Stegostoma tigrinum: one gene and its partners. The protein of the gene in region 3 purifies or fractionates together with the protein of the main gene of each other region. This does not show direct contact. Links are inferred from orthologs where the notes say so. Each region holds a gene or a part of one and is shown on either strand. Other genes may lie near its edges. The genes, in order: protein PALS1-like, nf2b, amotl2a and lats2.

Region 1 (7,009 bases), on a different chromosome or scaffold from region 3:
ACTGAGTGATAAGGGAATTTCCATTGATGCTATTTTGTTTCAGTTCATGCAGGAATTCAAACTGTTGTAACACCATGCATTTTTTCATACATTAGTGGCCTCAAGTTACAAATTGGGATTGTAGAAGCTCCAATATCCTGTTCCACACATGGCTGACCCGGAATTTCTCCCTGATACTCACATTGTTTGGCCACATTGTGAACATGACTCCATTGACCACCTAGTCCTGAATGAGGGATAAACCCAGTGCTTCCAGCTCTGAGGCAGGATAACTAATCACTGCATCATTGACACCTCCCCACATGTTGCTATGGAATAAGAAGAATCAAATAATGCATCTTGTAAGATGTATTAAATACAACTATTTATATTCATTTTAAAGCAAGGAGAATTAAATGTTAGAACATAGAACATAACAGCACAGTACAGGCCCTTTGGCCCTCGATGTTGTGCCAACCTGTCATACCGATCTCAAACCCATCTAACCTACACTATTCCATGTACGTCCATATGCTTGTCCAAATGTTGTCAAATGTTTTCAGAACAATGAATGATGTTTAAATGGGCAAGGTGCTATTTCACAGTTTTATATCTGGAATAATCCTAGATTCAAGTTAGACTAGCTTCAGAACAAAATACTCTCCACACAAAGGCTTTGTATATTCCCAACACAAATGGAAGTTGCTGGAAAAACTCAGCAAGCCTGGCAGCATCTGTGAAGAGAAAATCAGAGTTAATGTTTTGGATCCAATCACCCTTCCTCAGAAGGTTCACCAGATTTGAAACATTAACTCTGATTTTCTCTTCACAGATGTTGCCAGACCTGCTGAGCTCTTCCAGCAACTTGTCCCTGATTTACAGCATCTGCAGTTCTTTTGGTTTTTATTTTGAATATTCCCAAATATTTATTAGGTTTGAAATAATAATAAATTAATTCTGTTTGAATTGATTTATTTCATTTTGAGTATCAATGAAGATCTGACCCATATTTTGGAAGCAGAAACTTTAGTAGTGAAAGAAAACTTCAGAGATGCCCAAAGTTTCAGATGAGGCAAACCAAATCCTCCAAAAACACTCAATTTTATATAAAAACAGAATAGTTATATTCTGTTATTATAGGCATGCTGGATAAAATAAACATTGTCTTCTTGTTTACAACAACAGGACTTTTATAAAAGCAAAAATACTGTAGTGCTGGAAAACAGATAAAAACAGAAAGTGCTGGAGAAACTTAGTGGGTCTGGCAGGATCTGTAGAGAGAGAAAGAGAGTTCATATTTTGAGTTCAGTTTGACTCTTCTTTAGACTTTTATTTGGTATTTGTGTTTCCCAGGTATTTTCCTGTGTGACTGTTTTTGGCATCCTGCTAAACTCAGTGAGAATTTGAGGTGAGGTGCATGAGAGCTGATGTGGGATGGGTGTGTCGGGATGGGGTTAAGGCATCACAACATATGCATCTAATTTAAAATTGCTTTTTAAAAGCCTCACATTTAATTCAGTGGTATTCCATGGGCTCTATTTTACTTCCTTAATTCATAATTTAGTGAGGAAATGGAGGATGGTTAGATGAAAATTAAACGTGTGATAACTTGAGCACAAGTATCGTAGGCTGGTGGTAATATAGTGTTTTTAATATAGCACGTTTACTCAATACATATTTTGAATATTAACATTATAATAGTTATAATAGCCTACGTTAAGAACAACTATCGATTTTAAATCTTTGCAATTTACAATTGTCTTACTTGATAAACATGCTAAATTTTGTCTGTGTCCTTGGTTGGTAAAAATTCGATTCGGAGAAGGGCAGATTTCCATAATCCGGGTAAAATGCGAATTATCTTTAGAAGTGGACTCTTTCTGAAGGGTCTAGGTCCGAAACGTCAACCTTCCTGCTCCTCTGATGCTGCTTGGCCAGCTGTGTTCATCCAGCTCTACACCTCGTTATCTTTTCACAAAACCAGTTGGGCAGGGAATTGTGGCGCTACGGCCCCTATCTCTGGGCCAGAATATGCCGCTTCGAGGGCCACCTGCTCCAGAACAGGTTGATTAAAGATATCTGTCAAACTGTTTATCGGGGAGCAGAAAACACGTAACTGCAAAGGAAGGGAGACTGCGCGGTGGAAAAGACAGTTGGACTCGCTTAAATTATTTTTTTTCTTATTCTTATGAATGGCGCTCTCAAGGTACCCACTTTTCACTGTAGTTTTACACCGAATACACGTGACAATAAATGATTCAATGATTCAAGACAAAACTTGTTACCCATCGTTCGAGACTGTGTGACAGACCTTGCACAAATCTTCGTCGCTAGTCTTAAATACAGTCCATCAAACCGGTGATAGCAGAGAACAGTTAAAGAAAGTAGGGTTATACCTTCAACTACACACACGGAAAATTGGATATTAGAATTTGGTCTTAATGCTTGTTATGCCCCCGAGATGCGTATAATTTTCACGTATCTTTGAAGATATCACGCTTACATGCATCTTCACAGGAACGGATTCTGTGTCCATGAAAAACGACAGGATAGTAACAACTTTTCACTCGCCAAGCGTGCGATCCACAATGTTTTTTTTTCTAAATCTCCAAAATCAGGGAGCTATTTAACAACCTAAGTCAACTTCGTCTATAAAATTTCACACGCCGATTCATAAACTCGCCAATAGCCTGTGCATTCTACAGCATTTTGGACTCGCTTTCATTTTTTAAAAGTTCGTCAAGGCCTACAATTAGCAGCGTCATTAGCTTATCGGAAGATGTAGCCAAACACTCAGAACCAGGGCGGGGGAAGTGGATTGTGACAAGTAATGTGGTTGGTAGGCACCAAACTGAAAACAGATGGGCGTGTATCACAACATTGCGCGATAGCGGGAGGGCAGCAAATCATTTACCCAAATCAGCTCATTGCACTAATTGCAGCAGAGTCTGGAAACTTGGCTGTATTTGAGGCAGATATTGATTCTGAGAATATTTTGTTGATACGAAACCTCCACCTCAGTTGTTTGCAATAATATTTGCCTTTGGTATTCAAGACACGGTGAAGTTATTTGTGGGAATGTTGGAATTAGTTTGTTCTCCCTGACGTCAACGCAAAATGTTGCGGATGCTGGAAATCTGAAATAAAAACAGAAAGTGTTCGAGTTCCCGAAGTAAACGGGACTCGAAACATTCACGTCCCTACAGCCAGATCCGAGTTTCTTCAGCATTTCATATCCTGAGTTTAGCCTTTCTGAGATAACAAGGTGTGGAGCTGCATGAATACAGCAGGCCAAGCAGCATGTTTAGCCTTTCTGATATGACTATCGACCAAGAGCAGCCCAAGCACTCTTGTCTTTCGCAGACGTCCCGCTGAAGTTGACCGTGTTCGGTATTAAGGTCGGGCATGGCATTTTTGTTCAGGCCTCAAACTGAGGCAACCTGTGATCTTTCCAGGGATACTTGGAATTGAGAATTGACACTAGTTTCTGTTTTTTTTCTTGCACCATGTAGCGATTCACCAGTGGAGGGGGATGGGGTGGAAATAAAGGAGTCGCCCGGCAAGACCGCGAAATAGTTTCAGAAAAGTGTTGAGAAGGCTGGCTCCAGTCCCAGGAAGGGATAAGCGGAGGTGCTGGGGTAGATCTGCTTTGCTTCAAGTCTGCAAGAAGACTGCGACAGTCAGGTGTTGTGATTTCCAAAGCTCCCTGAACTAACCCGATCCGATCGAGCCCCTCCTCCTCCTTTCTCCCCTCCGCCGCTGGGATCGCATTGCAAAATAAAACATTCCTGGCGCAGCTCGGGCTTTCACCTTTGTCTCCAGTGAGTGCGCGCGCGCGGCCGGGCTTAAGTTGGAGCAGGCATGCGCGCGCGCGGCCGGGCCTAAGTTGGAGCAGGCATGCGCGCGCATCCATTTCTCCCACACCCACCTCCACTTTCCCTTCACCCGAAACTCAACGAGCTTGTACCTCCCTCTTCCGAAGGGGGCGAGGTTGAGGAGCCCTCGCGAGCGACTGCGCGCACACGCACGGGTCGCGTCCTCAGCCAGGCACAGAGTCCGTTTATTTTTACTCCTCCCTACCCCCGCCCTCCCCCAAGAAAGAACGCACCGCTCGCGGCCGGAGGCAGTTGGAATCCTCCATTCGAGGTGAGGAGGTGTCGAACAAAACAAATCCAACAACCACCCCCGGCAAACACACAGAGTAAGGGGGCTCCGATCGTGAAGCTCCTTCGCTCACAGCCGAGTGTCTGATCTCAGACACCGGCATCAAGCCCGGCTCTCTTTCTCCGTCAACAGGTTAGTGGGTATCAACCGCCAGAAGGAGCTTTCGGCCGTTTTATTCACCCCCCGCCAAGGCGCAAGTTTGTATCGAGAGGAGCCTTTCACTTGGCTTGGGAGTCCGGCCTAGTTTGGGAAAGAGGTGAGAATCGGGTTGGCAAAGGAGAAGAAAAGGCAGGCGGCACGGGGTGGTGGAGGGAGGAAGAGTCGGGCTGGAAAAAAAGTTACTAGGAAATGTTTTTAGCATAAGGTCGAGTCCACGTAGCCTTCTCCCTCTGGTGCCGAAGGAACTCGTCTCAGAGGAAAGAAAAGGCAGGCTATTTTAGCTCTGTATTACTGGGTTTTGGGTGTGTTGGATTCTCCTTTATTTGTCACCGCCCGAGCCTTCGCATCTAATTTACATCCTCCCCGGCAAAGAAGGGAAACTAATTCCCATCTCTGGCCTCTAACCTTCTCAGTTAGGTCCAGCCGTCATGAAATTTTAACCAAGTCTTGTTTTCTAAACAAGTGTAGACAAAAACGAAGTTTGGCATTGTTGCGCGGTGGGATTGTTGGAATATCCTGGGTAGTTGCAGTTGTGGTGGAGATGGGCAGAGTGGTGCTTCTGGATGTTGTGCTGGTTCACAAGGTTAGACTGAAAATAATTCACAGCAGCGTCAATGCTGCATGATTTCGCCAGAATTAAAATGCAGTAATTCCACAAGAGATGTCCTTCCAGTTTAGAAACTCCAATTCAGCTTTCGGCAATTGGGTGCCCGGGGCGGGTGCTTTCGGTGTGAAGGTGGGTTGGGTGCGGAATAGAAACTTTGCTGGACGAGGGAAAAGAAGGGCAATTTAAAGTTAGTTGGATAGCTATAGTTTTAAACATTAAAATGAAACTCGGAAAGGACACCTCATGGACTAATTTACGATTCAAAATACCACTGATAACAAAGCCAAATGTGAAAAGCGTAACGATAAACTTAGAAACTAACAGGGACAAGGAGAAAATAAGCGTAAGTCAACGGTCTTTTATGACTATCATAAACAATGACAGGACGATCAAAGGCAGGATTTGGCGATTGAGGACCAGAAAGATCGACTTGAACTGGCAGAGAGCACGACTAAGGCAATTTACAAGTATTTGCATCTGTTTGTTAAAAATAAGAGACTGTGGTTTTAGAATCAAAATATATAAAAAGACGTATTTAAAAGCAAGCAGTTCTCGAAAAAAGAACAGCTACATCGTCCAGATGGGATGCCTGCCATATTATTGACCGAGGTACAGGTGGAAATTACAAACGCTGTAGTCGTAATCTCTCAATTTTGTATGCTGTGGGGCACTACCAAAGGATTTAACATGTTTAAAGTGGGATAAAGCAGCAATTATGGGCTAATTAGGTTAGCATCAAAAGAAGCTTTTAGCACCAATAATCTGGACAAAATTAAGTGATGTTTGGATCAATATTGAGTAATCATTTGAAGTCTGGATTTGTTAAAGCAGGTTATGTTTGACTTATTTGTCAAGTTCTTCACAGTAAAAGACTATTGTGATGATGAACATGATTGTGTGTGTTTTCAGAAATTCCTTGTTACTGAATTGATAGACCACGGGGTTTGGGGAAATCTGGCAACATGGATATAAAGTTTAAGTGAAGAAAGTAAACAGTAGTGGTTAATGGAGTAGTAACAAAGTTGGAAATACTCAGTGGATCCTGCAGCATCTTTATAAAGAGAAACTGTTAATGTTTCAGGTCAATGACTTTTCCTCATTAAAGATGAATGCTGTTTCAGGCTGGAGGGATGTACGCATTAGGATCACTGATCTTTTTGCTATTGATTAGCCTAGATTTGGTACAGCAGATATAATTTTAAAGTTTGTGTTGTACAGAGCTTGGAAATGTAGTAATTAATGAGGCGAGAAACAAGACTTCAAGGTGACTGAAGTGCACTAGCAAATGATTGATGACCTATAAATTAAGAGAAGTTTGAAATGATATGTTTTACAATCAATGATGACAGGCCAGATGAACTAAAATGTGCACATGTTAAAATTGGTATAGGAATGTATACAAATTGCTACAGGTCGTAGGATGAGATGCCAAGGCTTTATTTGATGGTGAGTTGTTGTGATCCAGAATGTTTTCTGAAGTGATAATAGAAACAGAATCGTAAATTTGAAAGTGAATTGAATAAACACTCAAAGGAAAATAATTACAAGACTGTGGGGTGTGACATTAACTGGACAGTTCTACCAAAGAGCCAGGCACTGACCTGATTCAGTCATTCTATAACTTATGGTCTGACAATGGATTTTGAGATTGAATGAAACTGGTACTTTTTTTCCCCCCTAAGTATATAACTTAGAGTTTGAATAAGAGAGATGCATCTTAGAATGAAATTTATTTTGAAACTCCTAAGTTTCTTCAAAGTTTAAGATGTAAGTTTATTTTTACTTTTCCATGTGATCTATTTTGTGCTATTTGTACTGACAATGCAGTTTTGTGTCTGCAGTTACAATACTACTGCTAGGAATTAGCTGTGTGAGTTGAGACAATGGTGATGAGCTGGCTTTGCAAAACAGAAGTTCATTATGGAATTTAAGGTGAAGTTGAACAGCAGCACTTAATTGGAGTTGTTGGATTCTTGGAACCATGTGCTATGGCTCATTCAGCTATTTGAATTACTATTTATTTCACTGTAACTATTGTAATAATACTGTGTTAGGTATGTGCTGATCCAGCACGTGAACTTAAGATCAAGTTTTCAGTTA
Region 2 (7,812 bases), on a different chromosome or scaffold from region 3:
ATAGTTGATGTCTAAAGTTGAAATAATGTATGTCTGTCTGCCAAAAATAGAGACCAGATGTAGTTACCTGTACATGCATGTGCTACGTTGCGACCCCAAATGACAATCTTAAATTAGTTGTAAACATATTTCTTACCAAACTTAGGCTTAGTTAGGAAATTTATCCAATCTCATATTTTATGCTGGACAATCTTTGAATTTTGCAAGTACAGGCTGATTGTATGGTCAGTTTCTCGCATGTTGGAACCAGCTGAAGGAGTGATAATGGGAACTGCAGATGCTGGAGAATCCGAGATAATAAAATGTGAGGCTGGATGAACACAGCAGGCCAAGCAGCGTCTCAGGAGCACAAAAGCTGACGTTTCGGGCCTAGACCCTTCATCAGAGAGGGGGATGGGGGTGAGGGTTCTGGAATATATAGGGAGAGAGGGCAAGGCGGACCGAAGATGGAGAGAAAAGAAGATAGGTGGAGAGGAGAGTATAGGTGGGGAGGTAGGGAGGGGATAGGTCAGTCCAGGGAAGACAGACAGGTCAAGGAGGTGGGATGAGGTTAGTAGGTAGGAGATGGAGGTGCGGCTTGGGGTGGGAGGAAGGGATGGGTGAGAGGAAGAACAGGTTAGGGAGGCAGAGACGGGTTGGACTGGTTTTGGGATGCAGTGGGTGGAGCTGGGCTGGTTGTGTGGTGCAGTGGGGGGAGGGGACGAACTGGGCTGGTTTTGGGATGCGGTGGGGGAAGGGGAGATTTTGAAGCTGGTGAAGTCCACACTGATACCATTGGGCTGCAGGGTTCCCAAGCGGAATATGAGTTGCTGTTCCTGCAACTTCGGGTGGCATCATTGTGGCACTACAGGAGGCCCATGATGGACATGTCCTCAAAAGAATGGGAGGGGGAGTGGAAATGGTTTGCGACTGGGAGGTGCAGTTGTTTATTGCGAACCGAGTGGAGGTGTTCTGCAAAGCGGTCCCCAAGCCTCCGCTTGGTTTCCCCAACGTAGAGGAAGCCACGCCGGGTACAGTGGATGCAGTATACCACATTGGCAGATGTGCAGGTGAACCTCTGCTTAATGTGGAAAGTCATCTTGGGGCCTGGGATGGGGTGAGGGAGGAGGTGTGGGGGCAAGTGTAGCATTTCCTGCGGTTGCAGGGGAAGGTGCCGGGTGTGGTGGGGTTGGAGGGCAGTGTGGAGCGAACAAGGGAGTCATGGAGAGAGTGGTGTCTCCGGAAAGCAGACATGGGTGGGGATGGAAAAATGTCTTGGGTGGTGGGGTCAGATTATAGATGGCGGAAGTGTCGGAGGATGATGCGTTGTATCCGGAGGTTGGTCGGGTGGTGTGTGAGAACGAGGGGGATCCTCTTTGGGCAGTTGTGGCGGGGGCGGGGTGTGAGGAATGTGTTGCGGGAAATGCGGGAGACGCGGTCAAGGGCGTTCTCGACCACTGTGGGGGGAAAGTTGCAGTCCTTGAAGAACTTGGACATCTGGGATGTGCGGGAGTGGAATGCCTCATCGTGGGAGCAGATGCGGCGGAGGCGGAGGAATTGGGAATAGGGGATGGAATTTTTGCAGGAGGGTGGGTGGGAGGAGGTGGGCTTGAAATGGACATCAGTTACAAGCTGGTTGCCTGAGATGGAGACTGAGAGATCCAGGAAGGTGCGGGATGTGCTGGAGATGGCCCAGGTGAACTGAAGGTTGGGGTGGAAGGTGTTGAAGTGGATGAACTGTTCAAGCTCCTCTGGGGAGCAAGAGGCGGCGCCGATACAGTCATCAATGTAACGGAGGAAGAAGTGGAGTTTGGGACCTGTGTTACAATCCGACCCCACCACCCAAGACATTTTTCCATCCCCACCCATGTCTGCTTTCCGGAGAGACCACTCTCTCCGTGACTTCCTTGTTCGCTCCACACTACCCTCCAACCCCATCACACCCGGCACCTTCCCCTGCAAACGCAGGAAATGCTACACTTGCCCCCACACCTCCCCCCTCACCCCTATCCCAGGCCCCAAGATGACTTTCCACATTAAGCAGAGGTTCACCTGCACATCTGCCAATGCGGTATACTGCATCCACTGTACCCGGCGTGGCTTCCTCTACATTGGGGAAACCAAGCAAAGGCTTGGGGACCGCTTTGCAGAACACCTCCGCTCGGTTCGCAATAAACAACTGCACCTCCCAGTCGCAAACCATTTCCACTCCCCCTCCCATTCTTTAGAGGACATGTCCATCATGGGCCTCCTGCAGTGCCACAATGATGCCACCCAAAGGTTGCAGGAACAGCAACTCATATTCCGCTTGGGAACCCTGCAGCCCAATGGTATCAATGTGGACTTCACCAGCTTTAAAATCTCCCCTTCCCCCACCGCATCCCAAAACCAGCCCAGTTCATCCCCGCCCCCCACTGCACCACACAACCAGCCCAGTTCTTCCCCTCCACCCACTGCATCCTAAAATCAGTCCAACCCGTCTCTGCCTCCCTAACCTGTTCTTCCTCTCACCCATCCCTTACTCCCACCCCAAGCCGCACCTCCATCTCCTACCAACTAACCTCATCCCTCCTCCTTGACCTGTCCGTCTTCCCTGGACTGACCTATCCCCTTCCCACCTATACTCTCCTCTCCACCTATCTTCTTTTCTCTCCATCTTCGGTCCGCCTTCTCCTCTCTCCCTATTTATTCCAGAACCCTCACCCCATCCCCCTCTCTGATGAAGGGTCTAGGCCTGAAACGTCAGCTTTTGTGCTCCTGAGATGCTGCTGGGCCTGCTGTGTTCATCGAGCCTCACATTTTATTAACCAGCTGAAGGATTCGGGTTGATAAGATCTGCCTATTTTCGGGACATATGGTCCACACTAATCTCTCCTTCAAACACATTAGTATTTCTTTCTATCATGATTTCAGAAGTACTTGGAAGCAAGGCTTCGAAATAAATGCATTATATAATAATGTTATATAATAAGGCTTATCCCTTTCAACACCACCAACATTGGTTACATCTTCCTTATTCAGTGAAATTCTCATTTTCGTCTATAAAAGAATTCAGAAGATTTTGAGAACTTCGGACATTGCTACACTCGGATAACATGAGAAGAGAATAAGAGAATTTGACCAAATAATGCACGGCAATAATTATTAGCTTGGGGTCTTAAAGCAAAATATAAGAAATAAGTAAGACTTTTGTGTAATGTTTTCCTCTTATCGATGTTGTTTACTACCTCCTAATCACGTAGAAGAAGCACCTTGATGTGCCATGAACATACCTGATCGGGTCCACTCCTCCCGGATAGAGAATTTCGAAGAGACGGACACTTCCGCTGGCAGCAGCGCATGCGCGGTACCTCTGCCTGAGGTGTGCACATGCGCGCAATGTCCTCGCCTATGTTCTATGTTGCGGGTTATCTCGGCATTTGGAGCTAAAATGGGTTCGCAAGTCGGCCTTATGATCTGAACACGAAGATTGTACATGTAGATCTAAATTCAATTCCACCCCAGTCCCCTTGATTTTACCTTTCTTTTCAAAAGTGCGGGTTATGGTTGTCTTTTGAGTGGTAACGTTCTTGCTTGAGTCAGAAGGTTCTGGATTGTGTGAAATGCTACAGTGTCGGAGGTGCTTTTTTGATGAAATGTTAAATCTGCTGCAAAAACAGAAATTGCTGGAAAAAGTCAGCAGGTTTTATGTTAAAGTTGCACGATAATAATCCAGTAGCATTATTCTAAGGGCAGGGGAATTATCCTTAGTGTGCTGACCGACATTCACTGCATTCTCTATCAACATTAGAAAACAGATTGTCTAACCATTCATAGTGCTGTAATAAAGCTAAAACAAAAACAAATTGCTGGAGACACGCAGGTCTGGCCGCATCTGTGAGAAGAAAGTTAACGTTTCGAGTCCAATGACTTCACCAGAACCGATTCATTTTGCTGTTTCTGGGTGTTTGCTGTGTGTAAATTCGCTTTTGTTTTTACATTAGAACATCGTCTTTCAGTTCAAACATATTATCGGGTAAAGCGCTGGGGGACGTCTTTTTGTTCTTCCCCCGGACTGTCACAGAAAACACATCGCGAATCTGTGCGGTATCTTAGCGAAGGCTGAAAATACGTTCCATACATATTCAGCGAGAAGGTATTAATCACGTCAACGGTGTGAAAAGTGACTACTGCATCCTACAAGTGAATAAAAACAGAAGGAGTGAAGTTGTCTTGCTGGAGAAAAGAGGAAGGCAGTATTGCTACGGGATTAAAGGAAGGGAGTTGTAGGAGGAATGAGGAAGAAGGGGTGATGTGGAAACCAAGACCTAGAGAAACTCAACAAGTCTGGCAATACCTGTGGAGAGAAAGCAGAGTCAAATGAGTAACCCCGTCATGGAAACGTTAGTTCTGTTTTCTCTCCTAAGATGCTGCTCGACTTGCTGAGTTTCTCCTGCAGTTTCTGTTTGAGATTTCCAGCATCCCCAATTCTTTTATAGAGATAGTTGGAACTGCTGATGCTGGAGTCTGAGATAACAAGGTGTAGAGCTGGAGGAACACAGCAGGCCAGGGAGCAGCATCCTTCGGGTCCCGACCCGAAACGTCAGCTTACCTAGATAACAAAGTGTGGAGCTGGATGAACACAGCAGGCCAAACAGCATCTTAGGAGCACAAAAGCCGACGTTTCGGGCCTAATCGCTTCATCAGAAAAAAGTCAGCTTTCCTGTTCCTGCAGCTCCGCACTGGGTTATCCTAAATTTTTCAGGTGTCGCCTGGGCTGCTGGCCGGTCCTCCCACCGGGAGGGTGCGCTCCATTGCAGTTGGCCGCTGTCGCTCCGTGGAGCCGCGGTGCTGGGCAGGCGCAGGGCCGGACGGAATGAACCGATTCTGGATGTCGCTCGTAGAGCTGAGTCCGTGACATTGTTCAGTGCCGGTGGCCGAGAGTGGCCGCTGTTGGACAGTCCGGGCTGACCGTCAGCTTCACACGGCAGTGCCTGTAACTGCAGGCCCGGGGCTCGGTCTTTGTCGGTGAGTATCGGCAGTGAGCACTGGCTGAATCCTGAATGGAGCCAAGCCTAAAGAAAATGAACTTATTCAAATGAGATGATAATTTACTGGGGAATGTTGCGGTAACATTTTCAATTATGGTTGGACAGAACAGGGTAACTATTGTTTAGGCCTTCAGAATTGTTTGATCCTGATATAGTATGTGCTGGATTGTGAAATCTGAATCATATTTGTATTTTGTGAGGTCGGTATTTGTGGATATCTCTCCACTCGAGATAAACAATAACCAGAATGGCCAGTGATGCGAATTGAGAAATAACCTTAGTAATTTTAGCCATCTGGAACTGCCTTTGAACTTGTCACACTTTTTATGGTTTCTTACAACTTACTGCGGAGCCTAAGTCTCACTGCACCAAACACACACACAATAAATGATGCACAGATTGAAATAAATCTTCCTTTTTCTTCCATTTTATTCTCAAATCAGTTTAAAGTAGCAAGCGCCTCTCAAAACACCTACATGTGCTTTGAGAGGCCACTGTTGTGGGGGGAAAGAACTCACAAGTCTGTAAGAAAAAGTGTCAAACATTTCATAACTGCCAGAGGAAAGACGTTGAGGATACAGGCGAACAGAATGAGCCAGGCAATTGTCACTGTAAATTATAATAGCAGAAGTAGGCCATTGGGTCCATCAATTCCCAACCTCATTCAGTGAAATCATGGTTGATCTGATAATTCTAAATCATCATATCATATTTGTTCGTGAGAGAAGCTTTTGATTGCATATCTACAACATCACTAAGATTGACTATTTTTAACATTTATTCTGCCTCAGCTCATCTGTAAATCCCATTTCATGCCTTTGCTTTAGATTTGATTTAATCTAATGCGCGGCTGCCCATTCTCCATGTTCTTCCCATGTTATAGGTAATCCAAAATTCTGATGGCCATCTCCTTATTTGCATCAAGTCCTGGTCACCAATGATCACTGTGATCACTGATATAGATTGACCTAATGCCTTGATGATAAAACTCATGCTTGATTTTAAACCTAACACCTCCAACTGTTTTGCCTCTCCCTATCTCTGTGATTTGTTTTGCCTCCACAAAATTTTGAGATAACTGCCCGCTCCTGATTCTGGCCCCTTAATCAGTCCTGATTTTAACTGTTCTAATGTTCATGCTGTGTGATTAGCTGCCAGTTCTCTCAACATTAGAAGCCCTGTATTCTCCTGCCTTCCAATGTAAAACATCTTCTGCATTCTCTGCCCACTGTCTCTTTGTTAAGATAATTCCTAAAAAGCTTGCTAAGACCTTATCTGGCTTGCTAGATACAGTTTTGGTTCCCTTATCCAAAAAAAATATACTTCTTTGATCATATTTTGACATGTTGAATATTGCCATTTGAGATTTAGTGTCAGAGTTTTCTTTACAGTATAGAATGCACCTGTGAAGTGCCGACATAAGTTTTATTTAAAGTACTATATAGGTTATTAATTTATCCATCCAGAAATTCTTTAAAACCTGTCTGCCAGTTAAGCAAAGATGAGGAGCACACCATTCAGTCAATCAAAAACCTGCTCCATTGTTCAATTAGATCATGACCTCAGTATTCATGTCCCTTGATGTCTTTAGAATCCAGAAACCTATTGATTTTTCTGTCACGAACGTTCTAATGATTAAACATCCACAACACTCTGGGCTAGAGAATTGCAAAGAATCACTACCCTCTATGTTAAGAAATTTTTACAACTCTTAATCTTAAATGGCCAACCTCTTGAGATTATGACCAGAGATAATGGGAACTGCAGATGCTGGAGAATCCAGGATAATAAAGTGTGGAGCTGGATAAACACAGCAGGCCAAGCAGCATCTCAGGAGCACAAAAGCTGACATTTCAGGCCTAGATCCTTCATCAGAAAAGGGGGATGAGGCAAGGATTCTGAAATAAATAGGGAGAGAGGGGGAGGCGGACTTAAGATGGATAGAGGAGAAGATAGGTGGTGGGGAGGTAAGGAGGGGATAGGTCAGTCTGGGGAGAATGGACTGGTTAAGGGGGTGGGATGAGGTTAGTAGGTAGGAAATGGAGGTGCAGCTTGAGGTGGGAGGAGGGGATAGGTGAGAGGAAGAACAGGTTAGGCAGGCGGGGATGAGCTGGGCTGGGTTTGGGATGCAGTGGGGGAGGGGAGATTTTGAAGCTGGTGAAATCCACATTGATACCGTTGGGCTGCAGGGTTCCATGTCCATCCTAGGCCTCCTGCAGTGCCATAATGATGCCACCCATAGGTTGCAGGAACAGCAATTCATATTCCGCTTGGGAACCCTGCAGCCCAATGGTATCAATGTGGATTTCACCAGCTTCAAAATATCCCCTCCCCCCACTGCATCCCAAAACCAGCCCAGCTCATCCCCGTCTGCCTAACCTGTTCTTCCTCTCACTTATCCCCTCCTCCCACCTCAAGCTGTGCCTCCATTTCCTAACCTCATCCTGCTCCCTTGACCTGTCTGTTCTCCCCAGACTGACCTATCCCCTCCTTACCACCCATACTCTCCTCTCCACCTATCTTCTCCTCTATCCATCTTCAGTCCGCCTCCCCCTCTTTCCCTATTTATTTCAGAGTCCTCTTCCCAAACCCCTTTTCTGATGAAGGGTCTAGGCCCAAATTGTCAGCTTTTGTGCTCCTAAGATGCTGCTTGGTCTGCTGTGTTCATTCAGCCCCACACTTTGTTATCTTGAGATTATGACCCCTGGTTTTAGACTCACCATTCAAGAGAATCGTTTATCTACATGTATCCTGTCAGAGCTTATAGAAATTCTATACATTTTGGTGAGATCACACACCTTTT
Region 3 (6,856 bases):
GATTGGAGGGTTTGAGCTATTGAGAGAGCCTGAATTGGCTGGAGCTTTATTCCCTGGTGTGTCAGAGACTGAGGGCTGCCCTTCTAAAGGTTTGTAAAAACATGTGGGGCATGGATAGGCTGATTAGCCAAGGTCTTTTCCCCAGGCTAGGTAAGTCCAAAACTAGACGGCATAGGTTTAGCAAGAGAGGAGAAAGATTTAGAAAGAACCTGAGGGGCAACTTTTTCATGCAGATGGTGGTGTGTATTTGGAATGAGCTGCCAGAGGAAGTGGTGAAGGCTGGTACAATTACAACATTTAAAAGGCATCTGGATGGATTCATGAATAGGAAGGGTTTAGAGGGATATGGGCCAAATGCTAGCAAATGGGACTAGATTGATTTAGGATATCTTGATGGCAGGGGTGAGTTGGACCAATAGGTCTATTTCTATGCTGTACATCTTTATGACTGTGTGGCTATGATTATGGCACAACTGCTAGATCTCATTCTTCTGTCTTCCATTTTCAAGTTCTATGTTTCTAACTTTCATTCTTGTATCCCTGATCAAGTTCCCAGCCTTTCTCATTCTCATCCATGACAATGATAGCAAATTCTGTTACAATGACATTGTTTGTGTTCCTGCTGATATGCAACCTGTCCAGCTTGTACAGTTCCCGAGATACCAATTCCAATGCCTCAGGATCTAAATCTCTCCCTCCTACACCACTTTCTTCATGCCAAGTCATTCATTCAAATATTCTATTCTCCTATTTCCAATCCTGCTCATATGTGGTACTGGGAGTAATCCCAAGATTGCTATATTTGTGTTCCGACTGTTTGAATGTATTTCCCAGCTCCCTGTATTCTGCTTGAAGGATCATATTTCTCTTTTTGCCTATGGTCTTGGTTACTGATATTGACTATAGTGTTCTCCCACACTCTTCAGAATACCTTTGATCCTGGCACCAGGGAGACAACACACCATGCTGGAGTCACATCTGCTTCCACAAAACCATTTATCTAATACCCCCATGATTATCATTCACCTTCAGATCTGACTGAACCATATACAACATCATTTCACCTTGCTTCATCACTAAAAATGCTGACATATCCAGGAAGACACAAGAAATGGAAAGCTCCTTGTCTTCACCACTGAATATCTTGGTAAACATTGCTGTCCTGTTCCTTCCACCCTCACCTCCAACATGAAGCACTCATGACTTTCTATTACAAAGACTGAAGAGATCCATTTGGCAGCCTCTACTAATTCAGTCATCTCTTCTGTACTAGGCAAAGCATCCCCTAAGGTTTCTTTCCATCCTAGCTCTGAGCTCGCAACTTTCTGTAGTTTCTCTGCCACTTTGGAGAAAGGCATCAAACCACTCCATCATCAGTTGAACAAAGAGACAGTAAGAGTAATCAAAACTGTAGAGTCACTGATGTTTAAAAATCCATACAAAAACTGTGAATGGCACAATGGCTCAGTGCCAGGGAGCCAGGATTCCATCCGCAGACAACAGTCTGTGTGGACTTTGCACATTCACCCCATGTCTGTGTGGGTTTCATCCGGGCACTCCAATTTCCTCCCACAGTCCAAAGATGTGCAGGTGGATTGGCCATTGGAAATGGCCCACAGGATAGGGATAAGTGAATGGGTGGCATGCTCTTCAGAGGATGTTTGTGGACTTGATGGGAAGAATGTCCTGCTTCCACACTGTAGAGATTCTATAAGGAGCAAGCTGCCTCAGGGATGGTGTATGTGTAGACATCCGATGTCTGAGGTACTCTGGACTGGTATCTCAATGGCAGGCAAGGCAGTCTATAAAACCTGTCTCTATGGACAGACATTTTTTGAACTTTCTTTGAGCTCTTGCCAAGCAGCCAAAACACCCCACTCTCCAATACAGTAATCCAATGACATGAACTGTGCTCCTGCCAACAACTAATCTGCACTAGCTGTATTTTGGTACTCTGTGGTATCACTGAGAACCTGTACTAATATTTATTCCTCTTTAACTAGCCTGTACATCTTCAACTCAGGCACTGTTACTCTTTGACAATCCAATCCCTGGAGTCAAGGCAACTCATTTCTAATTTTATGATTATATGTTTTAATTGCTTGATTCATAACATTTTGATTTTGGATCTGGGCAAAGAGAATTTCTTGGTCCTTTTAGTAGTGACTTAAACAACCTGGAATCAGGGTGATTCCTGCCAGTTGGTGTTCAGGTCTGGTGAAAGAAGTGGGAATTGAAATTTTACTGAAGAGATGGGATAAAGAGGGGATTTCAGAATGACAAAACTCTAACTAGTGTGCCACAGGGATCAGAGCTGGACCCACAAATATTTACAATGTGAATTGATGACTTGGTTGAGGGAAGTAAATATATTATAGACACATTTGCAGATGACACAAAATAGTTGGGAAAGGAAGTGGTGAGGATGATGCAAAGAGTTTGCGAAGGGATACATACAGGTTAAGTGTGGGCAAAATCTTGTCAGAGGGAATATAATGTGGGGAAATGTGAGGTTATGCACTTTGGCAGGAAGTATAGGCGAGCTGAATATTGTTTAAATGGAGAAAGATTGCAGAAAGCTACAGAACAGAGGAAGTCTTCAGCTATGAATCACAAAAGGTTAGCATCCAAATTCAGCTAGTGATAGGAAAGGCAAATGGAATGTTGGCCATTATTTCAAAGCAAGGTATTTAAAAAGGGGAGTCAGACCACAGCTGGAATACTGTGAGCAGTTTGGTCCTCTTCTCTAAGGCAGGATACAGAGGCATACCCTCCAGTCCAGAGAAGGCTCCCTCCTCGTTGTTGAGGGACTGTCATTTGAGGAGAGGCTGAATAAGTTGGGCCTGGATTCATTCGAATTTAGAAACATGAGAGGTGAAATTATTGAAACATATAAGATTTCTAAGAGACTTGCTGGGGGAAGCATGGAGAGATTGTTCCCCCTCGTAGGAGAGTCTACCACTAGAGGGGATCATCTATGAAGAAGGGGGTCTCCCTTTTAAGGCAGAGATAAGGATTTCTTTTCTCTGGGAGGTTGATGAATGGTGGAATTCTTTGCCACAGAGGCAGTGGAGGCCAGATCATCAAGGCTGAGATAGACAGCTGTTTAATTAGCAAGGGAATGGAGGGTTATGGGGCAAAGGTGGGAAAGTGTGCTAAGGATTTATCAGATCAGCCATGACCTTATGGAAAAGTGGAGCAGACTTGACTGGCCGTTTTACATCCGCTCCTGAAGTTTAGTGAGACCATTCGACCTCCAATATGTTTGCCCATTGCCTGCTGGGTGATGGAACTGTGTCCCACATCCCCATTTATCCTTTGTTGTCTCTCTCCCCAGTGCAAATCTCCATACTGGTGATATTGGAGCTCCGCTTTGAAATGTGAGTATCGGACCAGTAAGTGCCACTCGCCAGCTCTTCTTTGTCGTATTTATTATCTTCTGCGGTATGCTGTTAAATAAGAACCAAAAGAATTGCGGAAGCTGTAAATCGGAAACAAAAACGTTGCTGGAAACGCTCAGCAGGTCTGGCAGCATCTGTGGAGGAGAAAAAAAGAGTTAACGTTTCGGGTCCGGTGACCCTTCCACACGGCAATGTGTTCTGAGCTTTTCCAGCAACTTTGTTTTTGTTCCATGCTTTTAAATAAACTCAACTTCAATTCATCTACTTTGAGGGCTTAAAGATTGCATAGCCCCCGGGATTGGGAAGGAGAAGAGTCCCAGATATCCATCGCTCCGGTGTCAATGCAAGCTGCTGTTTGAGTTTCTCCAGCATCGCCCCCCACCCCCCAGTTTAGATGGTATTTTCCGCAGTGTTATCACTCTGTGCTGTGCCGTGAGATTGAACTGTTTGCTCATTGTGTGTGCCCTCTGCAGGTTGAGTCTTGGTGTGCGGTAGGAGCTGCCTTTGATAGAGCCAGGAACGCGCATTCCTGACATTCCTGCCGCTGCTGCATCGCCCCGGCTGCAGCTGGGATCTTGCCATTCCATAGCGAGCAAGCAAACAGGCGGCTAGGGCTGTCCGGTTCCCAGTTCCCACACCACGGTCACTTCCAGCACCGAAATCTGAGCTTGAGGCAGAGCTAGGACTCTGTCCCTGATGTGAAAAACCCCACTCCAGGTCAGTCTCCCATTTCTCATTCTATTATAGTGTCTGTTCAGCCTTTTGGGGACAAGCTCGAACGGATTTCACACTCGAGCCTGCCGAATAGTCTGGAGAAGGTGCGACCTGTTCCGAGTGCTTCCCCCGGGTTCATCTGCTCACGGGAGAGTTATTTGCTCGCCTTACGGGTGTGAGCAGCCGCATTTTCACAGGTCTCAGCCGGAAACTGTCCGCCTCCCCGAGCCGTTTCTCCCAGTGCCGGCGTGAGCTGATCTCCGTCACACAGCCTACTGGCTGCTGAGCTCACTCAACAGGAATGTGCCAGCCAAAAGGAGCCAGTGAAGGAAATATACGCCGACTTAGTCACGATTAGACTGAAATATTCTTCCCGTGTTGCTAAAGATTTCAGATTCAAATTTTCACCCAGTGTTGGTAAAGATTTCGAATTGTAATTTTCACCCAGAGTTGGTAAAGATTTCGGATCGTAATTTTCACCCAGTGTTGGTAAAGGTAATGAGTTATAATGTTCACGCTATAGTGAAGATAAGGATTGTAATATTCACCCCAAGGTGGTAAAGATTTTAGAATGCAATATTGTATTGTAATATTTACTTTTGTATGAAAGATTATAGATTATAAAATCTCTCTGTATTAGTAATTATATTATAGTGCAAAAAATAAAGTGTACCTTTATGTTATTACCGTTTATAAGAGAACAAAAAAACTTAGTTTACTGTAAACTTTACAGATGGGAGAGAACTTTATCAAATAATAATTAAGTTCGTAAACAATTAGGCTCTTTGACATGCTGCAATCTCTGATGCAATTGTTACGCTGAAATTCTTCAATAATCCTTACAGATGTTAATGGCAAGAAAATCTTTTTATGTTTAACATTAGAGATTTTTGAAGAATATTGAAAATATATGGGATGATGGATTAGTGCTGGAGAGTGAAATGAGCAGACTTTTGAGTTGAGTGCAGTAGTGGATTGAAAGATGTTTTCACATTGTTGTGGAATGCATGTTTTGCCCCAGGATGTTGCAGGTTAGTGAATGAGCTATTGTTTTGGAAATTTGCAGGAATTCAGTTCCATTTGCAAGTCTGTTGTATTTTGTTAGTGGCCCCATTCAGGGAAAGCCATACATTAAAAAAAGTAGCCCAACTTTTCAAAATATACCTTTATTTGTGTATCAACTATTAATATCTGATGATCTGCTTTTTTCACCTTCTGCAAATGTATTTTGGGACCAGATCTGTTTCCTGCAAGTTTGAATGGTTAGAAATGGTAATAATTATTATTGGCATTTTAGCTGGAAAAAACACTTGCAATTTTGAGGCAGGGTTTATGAGAGTGGCCTGAAATTCTGTTGATCTGGAGTAAAATCAGAAACACATCTAAATTGGAGGAATAATGGGATCTCTTCACTCTTGATCACCCATCCATTCTCACAATGGACTAAGTGATTTTGTGCTTTCATTACTGCCAGCATTGCCTCAAATCGTTTCAAAAATCTTTGTGACTGTAGTCCAGTGGTCGTGCAGACCCTCCTTTACATGTTTTTTTAATAATCCATTCCAAATTCCTGTCAAACAAGATTTAAAATTTAAAATGAATTTCTCACCTATGTTGTGAGTTTTACAACATGTTGTCTGATATAGTTAAAGATTTAGGATCAGATAAAACACAGGCGGTTTTAAATGTAGGGGCTTTGAGAAGAAATCACTCACGATCTTTAAATTTCACAACTTATTGTGGAAGTTTCCCACAGGATATTCAGGCTAACAATTGCTCAACGTCTCAGCAGCCAATCCCCAACTCCATTTTCCACCCCCCCCCCGCCAGATTCTTGCAATAGTCATTTCATACTCACAATTTAATGTCTGACATTCCTCAAATTCATGCCATTATCTTGTGATGATAAAACAACTACCCTGAGCCTGGATAGCTGTTGTTGCAGCCTGACGTGCTGTCACCAGGGAAACAGTTCCCAGGGGCATGCATGTGGGCAGCATTTGGCTGGGGCAGGCTCTGGAACGCAATGTGACAGGGTTAGTGCTGCTAGATTGTATCCTGTGTCATTTTCTTGGAAATAACTTCAGTATTTTTGCTGAGGACGAGGGGGAGTAAGTGTTGGCAAGTTGTGCACATACTGTTCGAGCTTGAAAGAAACACTGTACGATATAGAGTCCTGTGCTTGCCTGTAAATCACTCATTGTGCCCATTTCACAAACTTACTGCACTGAGAATTCAATGGGCATGTGTAGTTTTGCAATGTTACAATTGATTTCAAGACTTAATTGGTATAAAAAATGTATTGAATTTGGTAGATTGAGGATGCAAGGGAGATTTATTAGAATAGTATCAAGGCAAAGAACACTTGTTATGTGGAGAGATTGAAGAAGCTGGGATTGTTAGTCAGAGAAGGTAAAGGGACTATTTGACAGGTTGTTAAAATGATAAAGGTTTTTGTTTTGGGGAGTTGAAGTGTTCCCATTGGCAACAAAGCTGGATAACTAGAGGACACAGGTTCATAGCGAGTGGTAAAAGAATCTTGGTGGAGAATATTTGAAAAAAGCAACTTTTTATTATCTGCCTGAAAGGGTAATGGAGTTAGCTTCAAGAACTTTCAAAAAATAATTTCCAAAAGGAAACGATTTTCAGGACTGTGTGAAAGCAAAGGGGCTGAAACTGAAACTCATCTGAAGAGTTGACACAAGCATAATGGGCTGAATGGCCTCCTGACCTTATGGGTT
Region 4 (7,174 bases), on a different chromosome or scaffold from region 3:
GATAGGTGGGGAGGGGATAGGTCAGTCCAGGCAAGACGGACAGGTGAAGGAGGTTGGATGAGGTACTAGGTAGGAAATGGAGGTGCGGCTTGAGGTGGGAGGAAGGGATGGGTGAGAGGAAGAACAGGTTAGGGAGGCAGAGACAGGCTGGACTGATTTTGGGATGCAGTTGGGGGAGGGGATGAGCTGGTCTGGTTGTGTGGTGCAGTGGGGGGAGGGGACAAACTGGGCTGGTTTTGGGATGTGGTGGGGGAAACGGGAGATTTTGAAGCTGGTGAAGTCCACATTGATACCATTGGGCTGCAGAGTTCCCAAGTGGAATATGAGTTGCTGTTCCTGCAACCTTTGGGTGGCATCCTGGTGGCACTGCAGGAGGCCCATGATGGACATGTCATCTGAAGAATGGGAGGGGGAATTAAAATGGTTCGTGACTGGGAGGTGCAGTTGTTTATTGCGAACCGAGCAGAGGTGTTCTGCAAAGCGGTCCCCAAGCCTCTGCTTGGTTTCCCCAATGTTGGGGCAGCCACACCGAGTACAATGGATACAGTATACCACATTGGCAGATGTGCAGGTGAACCTCTGCTTAATGTGGAAAGTCATCTTGGGGCCTGGGATGGGGGTGAGGGAGGAGGTGTGGGGCAAGTGTAGCAATTCCTGCAGTTGCAGGGGAAATGCCGGGTGTGGTGGGGTTGGAGGGGCAGAGTGGAGCGAACAAGGGAGTCACGGAGAGAGCGGTCTCTCCGGAAGGCAGACGAGGGTGGGGATGGAAAAATGTGTTGGGTGGTGGGGTCGGCTTGTAGATGGCGGAAGTGTCGGAGGATGATGCGTCGTATCCGGAGGTTGGTGGGGTGGTGTGTGAGAACGAGGGGGATCCTCTTAGGGCGGTTGTGGCAGGGACGGGGTGTGAGGGATGTATTGTGGGAAATGCGGGAGACGCAGTCAAGGGCGTTCTCGACCACTGCGGGGGGCAAGTTGCAGTCCTTGAAGAACTTGGACATCTGGGATGTGCGGGAGTGGAATGCCTCATCCTGCGAGCAGATGCGGCGGACGCGGAGGAACTGGGAATAGGGGATGGAATTTTTGCAGGAGGGTGGGTGGGAGGAGATGTATTCTAGGTAGCTGTGGGAGTTGGTGGGCTTGAAATGGACATCAGTTACTAGCTGGTTGCCTGAGATGGAGACTGAGAGGTCCAGGAAGTTGAGGGATGTGTTGAAGATGGCCCAGGTGAACTTGAGGTTGGGGTGGAAGGTGTTGGTGAAGTGGATGAACTGTTCGAGTTCCTCTGGGGAGCAAGAGGCGGCGCCGATACAGTCATCAATGTACCGGAGGAAGAGGTGGGGTTTGGGGCCTGTGTAGGTGCGGAAGAGAGACTGTTCCACGTAACCTACAAAGAGGCTCGCATAGCTGGGGCCCATGGCCACCCCCTTGGTCTGTAGGAAGTGGGAGGAATCGAAAGAGAAGTTGTTGAGGGTGAGGACTAGTTCGGCGAGGGGGACTGATCGGGCCTGCGTGACAGGAAGAAGCGGAGGGCCTTGAGGCCATCTGCATGAGGAATACAGGTGTATAGGGACTGGACTTCCATGGTGAAAGAGAGGTGTTGGGGGCCAGGGAATTGGAAGTCCTGGAGGAGGTGGAGGGCATGGGTGGTGTCACAGACGTAGGTAGGGAATTCCTGGACCGAAGGGGAGAAAATGGAGTCCAGATAGGTGGAGATGAGTTCGGTGAGGCAGCAACAGGCTGAGACAATGGGTCGACCAGGGCAGGCAGGTTTGTGGATTTTGGGAAGGAGATAGAAACGGGCCGTGCAGGTTTGGGGAACAATGAGGTTGGAGGCTGTGGGTGGGAGGGACTGCAACTTTCCCCCCGCAGTGCCACAAGGATGCCACCCAAAGTTTGCAGGAACAGCAACTCATATTCCACTTGGGAACCCTGCAGCCCAATGGTATCAATGTGGACTTCACCAGCTTCAAAACCTCCCCTTCCCCCACCGCATCCCAAAACCAGCCCAGTTTGTCTCCTCCCCCCGCTGCATCACACAACCAGCCCAGCTCATCCCCTCCCCCAACTGCATCCCAAAACCAGCCCAGCCTGTCTCTGCCTCCCTAATCTGTTCTTCCTCTCACCCATCCCTTCCTCCCATCTCAAGCCGCAACTCCATTTCCTACCTACTAACCCCATCCCACCTCCTTAACCTGTCCGTCTTCCCTGGACTGACCTATCCCCTCCCTACCTATATTCTCCTCTCCACCTATCTTCTTTTCTCTCCATCTTCGGTCCGCCTCCCCCTCTTTCCCCATTTATTCCAGAACCCTCTCCCCATCCCCCTCTCTGATGAAGTGTCTCGGCCCGAAACATCAGCTTTTGTGCTCCTAAAATGCTGCTTGGCCTGCTGTGTTCATCCAGCTCCACACTTTGTAATCTTGGATTTTCCAGCATCTGCAGTTCCTATTATCTCTGAAAATATATTTCAATCGGTCAGCATCGTGGACGTTAAAAACCCGTCTCACAAAATGACTAATACCAACAAATGTCACAGAAAAGGCATGCCATAAACACGGTCAGTCTTATAAATTATCAGCAAGCATCACACGGTAATGGGGTGAGAGGGGTCGAGGCCCAAAACGTCAGCTTTCCTGCTCCTCTGATGCTGCTTGGCCTGCTGTGTTCATTCAGCTCTACACCTTGTTATCATAATGATATTTAAGGAAATTAAGTCTCACAGAATCTAATTTTCTACAGTAACAGAAGTTGATGTAAAATCTGGGCCTTTAAATGTTATACATAAGCTAGACACAAGTTAAATACGATAATGCAATTCCAAAACTAAAATAGTCAATCTTATGCTTTTCCTTACTTTCGCCATTTAGTTGAGTTGGTTTTCCCAAGGGTTTAATTTTATTCTTTTGTGTTTGTCCGTTCGTTTGAGAGAAGCCTGTACGAGAGTTCTCAACTGTGATGGAAATCTATTTTCTCCTCACCCATCCCAACGCCACAGTATGTGGGCGGAGCTTCCGAACTTCCTGATTGACAGTTACGCGTCGCATTGTTTTCATTCCATCTCAGTCACGTGGCCGCGCGCGCCCGCGTGCGTCGCTGCGCTGGCATTCGACGAGGAGGCGGGGCGGAGGTTTGGTCGTGGAATTTGGTATCCGATTACTCAATACCGAGCTGAACTTTAGGCCTGTGGTGCCCTTGAACCCACATCTAAATGTCAACGAAATCTAACTAGAACTTGTGGTGTTCAACGTAATAGCATTCAAAAGCAAACTGAACACTATTTCTCGGAACAAAAAGAGTTTATTATGACTATTCGGCTAGTGCTGGTTCTTGCAAAGATGTATGTAATTTCACTTTCCTGCTCTTTTTAACATGCCGTGCGTTTCCCTGAAGTTTTAAAAGCATTTTTTGCAATTTCCTTTTGAAAGTCACCATTGAATCAAGTTCCACCAGCCTTTCCGTAGCTGGTTTGATGATCAAAGTCATACCATCCACACAGTGCGGAAAAGGCCGTTTGGCCCAATCGAGACTGCGCTGACCCTCCAAGCCCGCACCCTATCGCTGTAACCCCGCATTTACTGTGGTCAACGCATCCACCCAATCTGCACATTTTTGGGCTGTGCGAGGAAACCCATTGCAGACACAGTAGAAGTAGGATTTTTTTCAGAATAGAATTTTTCAGAAATTTCTGAAGAATTCACCCGAAACGTCAGCTTTCCCGCTCCCCTGATACTGCCCGACCTAAGCTAATTTTTCAAATTGCCCTGGATCCAATGGGTTCTTAACTTCTTAACTAATCTGGCAAACAATATGTAATAAAAATCCTTACTAAAGATACAGATGATACAAGGTGGTTGTAAACAGCATGATAACATCACTGCAGTGGTCAAATTGACAGGAAAATGGCAAATGGAATTCAGTCAAAAGCAGCGTGCATTTGAGCTGCCTAATCAAGATAAGAGAATACATAAGAGATTACAGTGGAAGATACTTTGAACATCCCACTAATACCAAAAAGCGTGGGAGAAGAACTAAGTACCATTGCTAGTGAAGTAGGATTAGACAAAGTAATGGGGCTAAAGGCAGATGTGTTCCCAGCCCTAATGGCTAGCAAAATAATATCCAAAAAGAAGTAGCTATCTCTAATTCTGATGAAGGGTCTAGGCCTGAAACGTCAGCTTTTGTGCTCCTGAGATGCTGCTGGGCCTGCTGTGTTCATCCAGCCTCACATTTTATTATCCTAGCTATCTAGATAGTTTCTCGTCCTCTGTTTCTGCCACTGTATTTCTCATCTTCTATGGTATCATCCTCTGTTTCTGCCACTCTGTTTCTGATCCTCTGCTTCTCACCCTCTGTTTCTGTCACTGTTTTTCATCCTCTGTTTCGCCTCATGTTTCTCATTCTCTGTTTCTGCTGCTGTGTTACTTACTCCTTGTTTCTGCCTCTGTTTCTCATCCTTTCGTTCTGCCATTGTGTTTTCATGCTTTCTCTCTCATCTTCTGTTTCTGCCACTCAGTTTCTCATGCTCTGTTTCTACCACTGTTTCTGATCTTCTGTTTCTCATCCTCTGTTTCTGCGATTGTGTTTCTCATACTTTGTTTCTCTGCATCCGTTTCATTCTCTTTTTTTCTCGTCATCTGTTTCCATCACCACTATTATCATGCTTTGTTTCTCATCTTCTATTTCTTGGCCTCTGTTTCTGCCACTCTGTTTCTCATCCACTGTGTCTCTTCATGAGTTTCTCATTTTATGTTTCTGCCACTCCGTTTCTCATCCTCTGTTTCTGATCCTCTGTTTGTTGACTCAAAAACTTCCAGACCCCGCAAGAGTTCCATTAACTTCTTTATTTTAGCTTAGCCAGCGAGAGCTCCGGAGTCAATACCAGAGTAACAGTCAAGCTCTCACTGGTGGACTCTCGTCAGACCTCTATGCATAGCATAAAAGTAGTACAATTTATAGCCCTCACGTGTGTGATTAACATACATATTTCACTATCCGACATGACTAAATGTTATCACATCCCATACTGTTCACATGCGTCATAAGCAGATAAGTAGTGCAGTTAACACTGTTACATTGAATAGAGGAAGCAGCCCCAGCCGTGGGAGAACAGCTGCAACCTTCAGGTTGTTACAAACACAGGCACACATTCCAAAATTTATGGTAAATCGTTATTTCAGCAAAACTTCTAATTATTGCTTCCCCAATACTTTATCATGTTTCTCATCCTCTGTCTCTGCCACTCTGTTTCTCACCAATGTTTATATTGCTGTTTATGCCACAGCGTTTCTCATCCTCTGTTTCTCATCTTCTATTTCTCGGCCTCTGTTTCTGTCACTCTGTTTCCCATCTTTTGTGTCTCATCGTCTGTTTTACCGCCTTTGTTTCTGCTGCTGTTTCTCATTCCCTAATTCTGCCACTCTGTTTCTCATACTCTGTTTCACCCCATCTGTTTCTCATCCTCTGTTTCTCCTCATGTGTTTCTTGTTTTCTGTTTTCCCACTCTCTGTTTCTGGCGCTCTGTTTCTCGTCCTCTGTTTTGCATTCTCTGTTTCTGCCAGTCTGTTTCTCATCCTTTGTTCCAGCCCATCTGTTTCTCATGATCTGTTTCTCATCCTCTGTTTCTCCTCGTGTTTCTTATTTTATGTTTTTCCACTCTGTTTCTCATCCTCTGTTTCTCATCCTCCGTTTCTGCCACTCTTATTGCCATCTTTTGTTTCTGCACGTCTATTTCTGTGTGTCTGTTTGTCATCCAGTGTTTCTCATCCTCTTTTTTCACCCTCTGTTTCTGCTCAAGTGTTTCTCATCCTCTGCTTCTCAAACAGTGTTTCTCGTCCTCTGTTTCCCAACCTTGTTTCTCATCCTCTGTGTCTGGCCCACTGTTTCTCTTCCTCTGTTTCGCATCCTTTGTTTCTGTCCCTCTGTTCCTGCCCCTGTGTTACTCATCTTCTGTTTTCACTCATGTGTTTGTATTCCGTTGTTTCCCATCCTCTGCTTCTGTTTCTCTTTCTCTGATTCTGCACCGGGATTTAATCATCTGTTTGTATCCCTCTGTCTCTCATCCTCTGCGACCCTCTCTTTCTGCCCCACTACTTATGCCCTTTCATTTCTGCCCCTCTGTTTTTCTTCCTCTGTTTCTCTTGCTCTGTTCCTCATCATTGTTTGCCAAACTCTGCTTCCCAACCTCTCATTCTCATCCTCTGTTTCTCTTCCTCTGTTTCTGTCCCCTCCTTCTGGCTGGCTACATTTGCCCACCTGTTTCTCCTCTTCTGTTTCTCAACCTCTGTTTCTCATGCACTGTTTCTGCCTCTCTGCATCTTGTCCTCTGCTTCTCATCCTCTGTTACTGTCCCTCTGTTTTTGCCCACCTGTTTTTTATCCACTGTTTCTCATCCTCTGATTCTCTTTCTCTGGTTCTCTTCCTCTGTTTCTCATGCTCTGTTTTTGCCCCTCTGTTTCTGCCCCTCTGTTTCTGCCTCTCTGCTTCTAATCCTCTGTTTCTCCTCCTTGGGTTTTAATCATCTGTTTCCCAAACTCTTTCTCATCCTCTGTTTCTGTCCCTCTGTTCCTAATCCCCTGTTTCTCATTCTCTAATTCTCATCCTCAGTTTATTTCTCACTGTTCCAACAGCTTTGTCTCTTCTCCTCTGATTCTCATTGTCTATTTCTCTCTCTCTTTCTGTCCCTCTTTTTCTCATTCTTTGTTTCTCATTCTCTGTTTCTGTGCTTCTGTTTCGGGCCTGTTGTTTCCATTCTCTGTTTCTCATCCTCAGTTTCTGCCTTTCTGTTTCACCCCATTTGTCTCTACTCCTGGTTCTCATTCTCTCTTTTTCACCCTCTGATTCTCACGTTCTGTTTCTCATCCTTTGATGAAAAGCCCTGCTTCGGCACCTCTCAATCTCATCGATTGTCTCTCATTCTCTCTTTCTGCCCCTCTATTTCTCATTCTCTTTTTCCCATTCTTTGCTTCTGACTTTTGTTTCTGTCCTTCTATTTCTGCTCTGTTGCTCTCATTCTGGGTTTCTCATTCTCAGTTTCTGCCCTTTTCAGTCCCTGTTTCTCTTCCTCTCTTTCTCATTCTCTGCGTCTCACCCTCTGATTCTCATTTCTTGTTTCTCATCCTCTGTTTCTGCCACTCAGTTTCTCTTGCTCTGTCTTCCCTCCTCTGTTTCTGCAAAT

What was found.
Region 1: the proteins of amotl2a (region 3) and protein PALS1-like purify together in Homo sapiens (affinity purification with mass spectrometry; 3 studies listed by BioGRID and IntAct, counting the BioPlex papers as one, with this or other methods). This does not show direct contact. The link is inferred for Stegostoma tigrinum from reciprocal best matches to the Homo sapiens genes AMOTL2 and PALS1.
Region 2: the proteins of amotl2a (region 3) and nf2b purify together in Homo sapiens (affinity purification with mass spectrometry; 5 studies listed by BioGRID and IntAct, with this or other methods). This does not show direct contact. The link is inferred for Stegostoma tigrinum from reciprocal best matches to the Homo sapiens genes AMOTL2 and NF2.
Region 4: the proteins of amotl2a (region 3) and lats2 purify together in Homo sapiens (affinity purification with western blotting; 3 studies listed by BioGRID). This does not show direct contact. The link is inferred for Stegostoma tigrinum from reciprocal best matches to the Homo sapiens genes AMOTL2 and LATS2.

What each region holds. Positions count from the first base shown.
Region 1 is NC_081363.1:69,480,053-69,487,061, reverse strand, and holds the start of protein PALS1-like, read left to right. Parts: upstream 1-3,999; 5' UTR 4,000-4,275; exon of another isoform or gene 4,276-4,399; intron 4,400-7,009. UniProt on the Homo sapiens protein: Plays a role in tight junction biogenesis and in the establishment of cell polarity in epithelial cells.
Region 2 is NC_081380.1:17,857,151-17,864,962, forward strand, and holds the start of nf2b (NF2, moesin-ezrin-radixin like (MERLIN) tumor suppressor b), read left to right. Parts: upstream 1-4,787; 5' UTR 4,788-4,986; intron 4,987-7,812. UniProt on the Homo sapiens protein: Probable regulator of the Hippo/SWH (Sav/Wts/Hpo) signaling pathway, a signaling pathway that plays a pivotal role in tumor suppression by restricting proliferation and promoting apoptosis.
Region 3 is NC_081367.1:1,412,990-1,419,845, reverse strand, and holds the start of amotl2a (angiomotin-like 2a), read left to right. Parts: upstream 1-3,856; 5' UTR 3,857-4,118; intron 4,119-4,253; exon of another isoform or gene 4,254-4,610; intron 4,611-6,045; exon of another isoform or gene 6,046-6,151; intron 6,152-6,856. UniProt on the Homo sapiens protein: Regulates the translocation of phosphorylated SRC to peripheral cell-matrix adhesion sites. Required for proper architecture of actin filaments.
Region 4 is NC_081359.1:73,335,296-73,342,469, forward strand, and holds the start of lats2 (serine/threonine-protein kinase LATS2), read right to left. Parts: upstream 3,009-7,174; 5' UTR 2,864-3,008; coding exon of another isoform or gene 2,855-2,863; intron 1-2,854. UniProt on the Homo sapiens protein: Negative regulator of YAP1 in the Hippo signaling pathway that plays a pivotal role in organ size control and tumor suppression by restricting proliferation and promoting apoptosis.